Xenopus tropicalis: one gene and its partner. The protein of the gene in region 1 interacts with the protein of each later gene in a pairwise test. Links are inferred from orthologs where the notes say so. Each region holds a gene or a part of one and is shown on either strand. Other genes may lie near its edges. The genes, in order: ruvbl2 and dpcd.

Evidence for each region.
Region 2: the proteins of ruvbl2 (region 1) and dpcd interact in binary tests that used the Homo sapiens proteins (3 or more experiments, as listed by UniProt). The two-hybrid records come from large-scale screens. The link is inferred for Xenopus tropicalis from reciprocal best matches to the Homo sapiens genes RUVBL2 and DPCD.

The regions. Positions count from the first base shown.
Region 1 is NC_030683.2:113,416,859-113,421,408, reverse strand, and holds the start of ruvbl2 (ruvB-like 2), read left to right. Parts: upstream 1-1,529; 5' UTR 1,530-1,725; coding exon of another isoform or gene 1,726-1,774; intron 1,775-2,762; coding exon of another isoform or gene 2,763-2,818; intron 2,819-4,550. UniProt on the Homo sapiens protein: Possesses single-stranded DNA-stimulated ATPase and ATP-dependent DNA helicase (5' to 3') activity; hexamerization is thought to be critical for ATP hydrolysis and adjacent subunits in the ring-like structure contribute to the ATPase activity.
Region 2 is NC_030683.2:30,780,170-30,784,631, forward strand, and holds the start of dpcd (protein DPCD), read left to right. Parts: upstream 1-1,408; 5' UTR 1,409-1,611; coding exon 1,612-1,675; intron 1,676-4,462. UniProt on the Homo sapiens protein: May play a role in the formation or function of ciliated cells.

The DNA of each region.
Region 1 (4,550 bases):
GTTGCTGCCTCCCTGCTTTCTTCTAGGTACCACTGAGGCTGTAGGTTAGTGACTGGTATCATGGCTGTCATGGTCGGACTGGGCTGTGAGACACTGGGGAAAAAAACCCGGGGGGCCCCGCCGACCCAGACCCGATACCTGTAAGTGCTGCTGCAACCCTGCTGCCTTTCCTCTATGTTTGTGGCTAAGTAAATGTAGGTGAGTGTAGTGGGGGCCCCGGGCACCCAGCCCAACACTGCTAACAATATGGCACCCCACCACAAATGTATGTGTATTTTTCCTCTTTACAGCAAACATTTGTATTTCATTGGTTGCCATAGGTTACTTCATCAGGACAGTTTTGCTCTATGTTAGTCAACATATAGTGCCCAGGGAGAGGCAGCAGGAACCTGACCAGGCCAAATGGGGTATAGGGGGCACTGCATATAAAAGAGTAACCCAGATCTACACACTAGCTCCAGAGAAACAGCCTATAACAGATATGAGATACTTTTCCTGTGGCTATGCATAGGTTCAGGTTTGTAGTTACATGGCGTAAGATTTCATTCCTTTATCATTATTGGAAAGTGAAAAAGAGCTCTTGTTTCTATGCAGTATATTCAGGCCTCTTAGTGCAGCCAGCCTCACCAGAACTGAAACATTTACTCCATAGCATTCTGCTCAGTTGACTGCAAAAAGCTGAACTATGGTTGCCATGGGGTTCTGCATCACCGTAGGGCATGCATCTGTTTGTAAATTCCCCCCTCTGTGAAATGTGTTGGTGTGTATGGCCACTTTTATATGGAGCAGTAGTGTTGGTTCATGGTAAGCAAATTAATTACTCTATAGTTGAATGCAATGTAGACCAAAGATGCTTTCCTCCAGCCTTTCCATCATCCTTGGATATAGCCATGCAGTAGCTAGGGGGGTTGCTTGTGGTGTAGTGGCAGAGGTATGCTGAATATTCTGGGCCTCTGGGGATGAATTATTTAACACGGTGTTAGTCTCAGTAGCTTTGTTTTGCTTGTTCCTGGATAGACAGTCTGCCAGTTTAGCCCATCTTTTTTTGTATGACCAAAAAAAAAAAAAAAACAGCTTCCTGGTTACGAATTGTCCAGAATAAGGCAGATTTTTAGTGCAAATGTTAGTAAATCCTTTCAATTAGATAAACTGCTCACCTGCTTGAGCTGTTATTTCACATCATACTCCCTGTCAGATGGCTTGTGTTGCCTGGTGTGACAGGGGTGTATGTAGTTGCTCTTGAGTACTATAAGAGTAAAATGACTCCAGTTCCATGAATTACCCGTGTGTTTTGGGTATCCTATAGCAGGACAGTTTGCCTTGGTTCTTACCATCCCGTATCCTATTGTTGGAGAATTTGCTTTGCAAACAACCTTGATTTGTTACTAGGAAACCGTTTGTTAACGGGGAAGATCCTTAGGGCAGACTGTTAGGATGGTAATGACAGGCATAGGCCGAGGCAGTTTGCAGTTGTTCTTATATAAAGGTAGGGCTAAATGGGCATGAGGTGGACAAAAAACAATGTTCAGCTCACAACATGCAGGGGTGGGGCAAATACATTTGGAATTCTCAAGAGGTAATCTCACATTCTGTAGAAAACATTGGTGAATCTTTATAAGCCAATGTCTCCTGCATTTATTTTGCTGCTGAGTTGTAATTAGTATTTCATGCATTGATGTCTAAAGGAAACCGTGATCAATATTCATGGTTATTTATGTCTCATAGACAACCAAGGTGCCAGAGGTGCGAGATGTCACCCGGATTGAGAGGATTGGTGAGTGTAAAAATACTACAAAAATAAACACAAAAATAACCTGCTAAACATGATGTGGTTCCCATGTAGCCCTCCTATTCAAATAACTGAATATTTTAGAACTCATGTATTCACCTCCATTGCATCGTGACACTTTTTGTTTCCATGGGCAGCAGTGCAGTTTAATCAACAAACAGTCTCCTTGGTGATAAATAGCTACAGAGGGTTGTAACTTTGCTGCAATCCCAGGCATTAGCATCACAAAGTTCCATCACTATTTTCATTTACTTTCAAGCCAAATGTGTTTAATTTTATTTATCTAATTGCAACAACAATTTTAAACGCGCATTATACACCCCTTTTCAAAAATTTTGAGTGCTGAGCATAATTTTTTGCCTGTTTAAAGTAAGAAATATGTTGCTAATAAGGAATGCCCACAGTGCCTTTTTTCCTACACTTTGGTCAAGCTGTTGGCTCTGTGCCAGATTATTTTGATAACATATATATATACTATATATGATAAAATAAAACATATATATTGCTTAACAAATATCCAAATAATAAAATATTTCAAGGAAACAATTTGTACATGTAATTGCAAATGAAAGCAGTGTCTGTTTATGTTTTTCTCTAACTCGCTTAAGACAATATATATTCACCTCCATATCCATTAAATCAAACAGCGGCTTCCAAGCCAAAATTAGTTAAAGAGCCCCACACAACACAGAAACCCCTAATATACCTATCCCTGTAATCTGTTCCATTAAAAAGTATGAATAAATACCATTTTATATGCTGAAATCCAGCTGTAAAACATTTATTTTTCTGCATTTGGCATCCTAGCATTAGCACGTGTAACAGTGCATATTAATTGTATGAGGTAGTCTGGGTATGTATAGATTAATACAAAAGATATCCAACACATTAAAATTAGTCTGTGTTTTGTGTTTCCTACCTATTAACTGCTTATTTTTGTGTATATAGTCTAACATTTGTCTCTCTTTGCCAGGCGCACATTCTCACATCAGAGGGCTTGGCCTTGACGATGCGTTGGAACCCCGTCAGGTACTGAAAGCGCTCTAATACTATAATATGAATGGTTATGAATTTTTGCTTATAATGACACTGGTTAGCGTTAGACAAGCAAGTGGCAGATTGGATACGTGTCGATCTGTCCTTCCTTCTAAAAGTAAATTTAACATCATATGTGCAGGGAATTGTGGGATTTGGAGTATGCTGGCTGAAGGCAGGCTTGTCAGCCAGATCAGCAGGAGAACAGGGGGCAGGGCTAAGGGAACTGTTCTAAACCATATTACATACAGTGGTGTGAAAAACTATTTGCCCCCTTCCTGATTTCTTATTCTTTTGCATGTTTGTCACGCTTAAATGTTTCTGCTCATCAAAAACCGTTAACTATTAGTCAAAGATAACACAAGTAAACACAAAATGCAGTTTTTAAATGAGGGTTTTTATTATTTAGGGAGAAAAAAAATCCAAACCTACATGGCCCTGTGTGAAAAAGTAATTGCCCCCTGAACCTAATAACTGGTTGGGCCACCCTTAGCAGCAATAACTGCAATCAAGCGTTTGCGATAACTTGCAACGAGTCTTTTACAGCGCTCTGGAGGAATTTTGGCCCACTCATCTTTGCAGAATTGTTGTAATTCAGCTTTATTTGAGGGTTTTCTAGCATGAACCGCCTTTTTAAGGTCATGCCACAACATCTCAATAGGATTCAGGTCAGGACTTTGACTAGGCCACTCCAAAGTCTTCATTTTGTTTTTCTTCAGCCATTCAGAGGTGGATTTGCTGGTGTGTTTTGGGTCATTGTCCTGCTGCAGCACCCAAGATCGCTTCAGCTTGAGTTGAAGAACAGATGGCCGGACATTCTCCTTCAGGATTTTTTGGTAGACAGTAGAATTCATGGTTCCATCTATCACAGCAAGCCTTCCAGGTCCTGAAGCAGCAAAACAACCCCAGACCATCACACTACCACCACCATATTTTACTGTTGGTATGATGTTCTTTTTCTGAAATGCTGTGTTACTTTTACGCCAGATGTAACGGGACACGCACCTTCCAAAAAGTTCAACTTTTGTCTCGTCGGTCCACAAGGTATTTTCCCAAAAGTCTTGGCAATCATTGAGATGTTTTTTAGCAAAATTGAGACGAGCCATAATGTTCTTTTTGCTTAAAAGTGGTTTGCGCCTTGGAAATCTGCCATGCAGGCCGTTTTTGCCCAGTCTCTTTCTTATGGTGGAGTCGTGAACACTGACCTTAATTGAGGCAAGTGAGGCCTGCAGTTCTTTAGATGTTGTCCTGGGGTCTTTTGTGGCCTCTCGGATGAGTTGTCTCTGCGCTCTTGGGGTAATTTTGGTCGGCCGGCCACTCCTGGGAAGGTTCACCACTGTTCCATGTTTTTGCCATTTGTGGATAATGGCTCTCACTGTGGTTCGCTGGAGTCCCAAAGCTTTAGAAATGGCTTTATAACCTTTACCAGACTGATAGATCTCAATTACTTTTGTTCTCATTTGTTCCTGAATTTCTTTGGATCTTGGCATGATGTCTAGCTTTTGAGGTGCTTTTAGTCTACTTCTCTGTGTCAGGTAGCTCCTATTTAAGTGATTTCTTGATCTAAACAGGTGTGGCAGTAATCAGGCCTGGGGGTGACTACAGAAATTGAACATTGAATTGATAAACCACAGTTAAGTTATTTTTTAACAAGGGGGGCAATCACTTTTTCACACAGGGCCATGTAGATTTGGAGTTTTTTTTCTCCCTTAATAACGTAAACCTT
Region 2 (4,462 bases), about 83 Mb from region 1:
TATGAAAAAGTCGCGACAATTCACGAAAGTCATAATGGCTATGAAAAAGTCGCGACAATTCACGAAAGTCATAATGGCTATGAAAAAGTCACGACAATTCACGAAAGTCATAATGGCTATGAAAAAGTTGCGACAATTCACAAAAGTCATAATGGCTATGAAAAAGACGCGACAATTCACGAAATTTGTAATGGCTATAATAAAGTCGCGACAATTCGCGCAAGTCATAACGGTTACGAAAAAGTCGCGACAATTTACGAAAAAAATCACAAAAAATACGAAAAAGTCGCAAAATGTTAGTTTTCCAATCCGAATTTTTCTCATTCGGATTCGTGGATTAGTAAATCAGCCCCTATATGTGGCTTTAACTCGCAGACTGGGGTTACCTGATGATGGGATTTCCAGCCAAAACTATCAACCCGGGCAGAGTCATTAAGAAAGGACTGTGTTTCTATGTAGCATCTGCCTGATGGGAGTTTCCTGCCAGAAATATCATTACCTGGCCAAACCCTGAGTAGATACAGGTAGGGAGATCATCGCTTTTGCCCTGTGCATCGGCCATTAGGCTGCAGACTGCCAAGAGAGGCAGAGTTGGCTTACAATATCAACCCACATATGGCCAGCTTACTGGCAATGGCACAGAGAGACTGGCAGTGGGGAGGCAGTAAAACTCACAATTGCCCTCTACTTTTTTTTATGGTATCGTCTGGACTGGTGATTACTGTTAACCCCAATGGGAGGCATTTCTTGACCTCCCATTGACCAATAAAGTCAATGGAGCTTTTTCCACCAAAGGGAATCTCCCCATTGCCCTCAGAGTCAGTGGGCTTATATATAGGAACCAGTGGCTAGGGTTACCACAAAATGAACCCAGGGCTGCTAAATCAATCTTTTCGTCCTTCTAGTAAAATTGGCATTATTCCCCCACCCTACCCTACCCCACCCCACCCCACCCCAAGCAATAAACAGTAGCAAATAATATAAGTACACTTAATAACAGACCATTGTGATTGCCTAATGTTCTGCTATACAAACAGCTACACTAAGGAAGGTAATCAATACTTTCTCTTATGGAACCCAAACCCTAAGTAACAGTACGGTTTAATGTGTGATTATGTGTTATTTTCTTTCCCCAGCAGCTCTCCAGCCATCTCGGAGGGAGATGTAGTTCCACGATTCTATATATCACTGCTATAGATCACTGCGCCCAAATAGTTACATGGAAAATACACACACAGCGCCCCAAACAGAGAAACAAACAGTAACTTATCGCTTTGTCCCCCCCTCACATTCACTTACTAGAGTTCAACACCACATCTATAAACATACACGGACATTTAATTAGGTCACTTCCGTATCCGGATGACTCGGAAGTGGTCACCGGAGTCCATTGCTTAATGAGCCCGATAATAAGAGAATATATAATATCCCGTTACAGCAGTAGCTTTGTAGAGACGTTTTATATTTTGGGATAGGTATGTTGATAGGTTTTGTGTACACGTTACAAGGCAGTCCGCTGCGTTACTATGGCAACTCAGGTCGGTTTGCCTAAGAGGCCGGCAAGCTTTGGGTTGCTATAGTAACTCGGCCCCGCGTGTGACAGGTTCCAAGATGGCGCTTCCAAGCTGGCTGGAGAGTCTGAAGGCTGCGCAGAAAACGTGCATTTTACAGGATGGTGAGTGTTCTTGTGGGAACGCAGTCACATCGGCTTGGGCTTTAATGCTGTGAGAAAGATATAGAGCTAACGTTAACCATATTCATTCATTCAACCTCCTCAATAACCAAATCCCATGCTTTATTTGTATAGCGCCTACACAGATTATATTCAATACACTGCCCTGGTGGAGTTTAAAATCTTAGGCCATAAACATGTAAACTATGTCCAGCCAGTAGCCTGGTAAAGCTGAACAAACTCGCAGGGGAACTGCTGAACTGATAACTGAGGATACATAAGCAGAAATTCAGGAGGGCTGTGATTGGCTATTTGGTAGCCCCTATGTGGGCTGGCAGCCAAGAGAAGGCTCTGTGTGGCTTTACACTGGGTTTTTATGCAACCAAAACTTGCCTCCAAGTCAATAATTCAAAAATAAGCCCCTGCTTTGAGGCCACTGGGAGTAACACCCATGTTGCTCACAGGACACTGGCTGGGGATAAGGTTTTAGACCAAATTGTTAGGTTCTGTCAGTTAATAGTCCCATAACCAAAGATGATTTACAACAGGACCTGCAGGTTTAGTTCAATAAAGGACAACTAATCCCATGCATAATAACAAGCATATAACAAACAAGTCTCATATTTGATCTCCCCCCAATCAAATCCTTCTATTCTTACCTAGGGGCTTAATGTCTCATTTTTTTTTTTTAGTTTAGGGCGAGGTCACACAAAGCGCATACCCACTTCTCTCAATCCTGCGTTTTTTCGGCCAGGCTGAGAGAAGCGGATCTGCTTTCTTGTGCTTCTCTGTGTGCCTGCATTAAAGGTTATGGCAACTGCCTGAGTGTGGGCACACGGGAAAAAAACCCAAAAGCATAGGGAAGCAGATCTGCTTCTCTCAGCCTGTTTGAAAAACGTAGGGTTGAGAGAAGGATATATACACTTAGGGGCTGATTTACTAACCCACGAATCCGACCCGAATTGGAAAAGTTCCGACTTGAAAACGAACATTTTGCGACTTTTTCCTATGTTTTGCGATTTTTTCGGATTCTGTACGAATTTTTCGTTACCAATACGATTTTTGCGTAAAAACGCGAGTTTTCCGTATCCATTACGAAAGTTGCGTAAAAAGTTGCGCATTTTGCGTAGCGTTAAAACTTACGCGAAAAGTTGCGCATTTTTCGTAGCGTTAAAACTTAACGCTACGAAAAATGCGCAACTTTTCGCGTAAGTTTTAACGCTACGCAAAAATCGCAAAATACCGATCATTACGAAAAAAACGCAATCGGACTCCATTCGACCCGTTCGTGGGTAAGTAAATCAGCCCCTAAGTGTGACCTCGCCCATAGGTAGATAAGTGTGTATCCAGAGTTTATGTGTATGTGTGCAACTCCCATATGTGTGTGTGTGTCACCTTTGCCTGTGGTCACAAGGCAATGTAAGAGCTTATGGAAGAATGTAAATGCCAGCCACAGCACAGTGAGAGTGGGTGCTAGGAAGTGTTACCAGCCACAGCACAGTGAGAGTGGGTGCTAGGAAGTGTTACCAGCCACAGCACAGTGAGGGTGGGTGCTAGGAAGTGTTACCAGCCACAGCACAGTGAGAGTGGGTGTTAGGAACTGTTTGTATATATATATGCTCAGTTACAGTATATACACACACACACACACACACACAGGTATGGGATCTATTATCCAGAAACCTTGCAGAAAGCTAAGTTATGGGAAGGCCATTTTCTATAGTGTCCATTTTAATCAAATAATTCTCATTTTTAAAATTCTTTTTATTTTTTCTGTAATAAAAAACAGTACCTTAACTGTCTTGCTGGGTTTAATTAATTGGTAGTAGACTTTAAGAATGGTGAAAAAAATAAATTATTGGGAAAACCCCAGGTCCCAAGCATTCAGGATTATAGATTCTATACTTAGTGGTGCAACTATAAAGGAAACACAAACTGCGGTCACAGGGGGCCTGGACCACGGGGTTTGGTTCCTCTATAGCTCTATAAAATTGAGTTGGCAGCTGGGGAGAGGGGGGTATTGAGTTGGCGGCTGGGGAGAGGGGGGTATTGAGTTGGCGGCTGGGGAGAGGGGGGTATTGAGTTGGCGGCTGGGGAGAGGCTGATAGAGGTTGCAGTGCGCACCAGGCCCCAAATCTGACAGGCTGTTGGCCTGTGACAACCAGTGCCACTTTGCCCATAGGCAAGCTATTAACAACTCATATTGTCATGAAAGCAGAGTCTAAGTATAGTTAACCAGAAATGAAGAATGAAGTCTGTTATTTTTCCATCCCAGAGTATCACTATGTAAATGTGAGATCTGAGCATACTCGCAATCTGGCCAGAGTATGGGCATAAGCACAAGTGCCATCACCAAGGCATCCCATAAATAGGCATCCCCATTCCACCATCAATGTGGCCCACACACAGCCATCGTTGTTTTGAGCTGCAACATTAGTGGTGGCATCAACCCCTCCATACTGTCCCCTGTGACAATGGGCAAGTTTGCACTAGTGCAGAAACTAAAGGCAACCAGTAACATTCTAGTACTTCATGCAGATGTGTGAACAAACCTGCTGGTTGCCGTGGGTTACTGCCCAGTTGCAGATTTTAAAAATAAGAACTTTGGCTTCATCAATATGCGTAATGTAAATTCAATATTTATGCACACTTTGAGTTCTCTGGGCTGTCTTAGACCTGTCCTAGACCTATTGAAGCTACTGATTCATGTGGCTGGTAAGTGTGCATCTGTACTTAAATAAATACATTTCTGTGGCACTGCTACACTTGTTTGCTTGTGTCTGGCTGCTG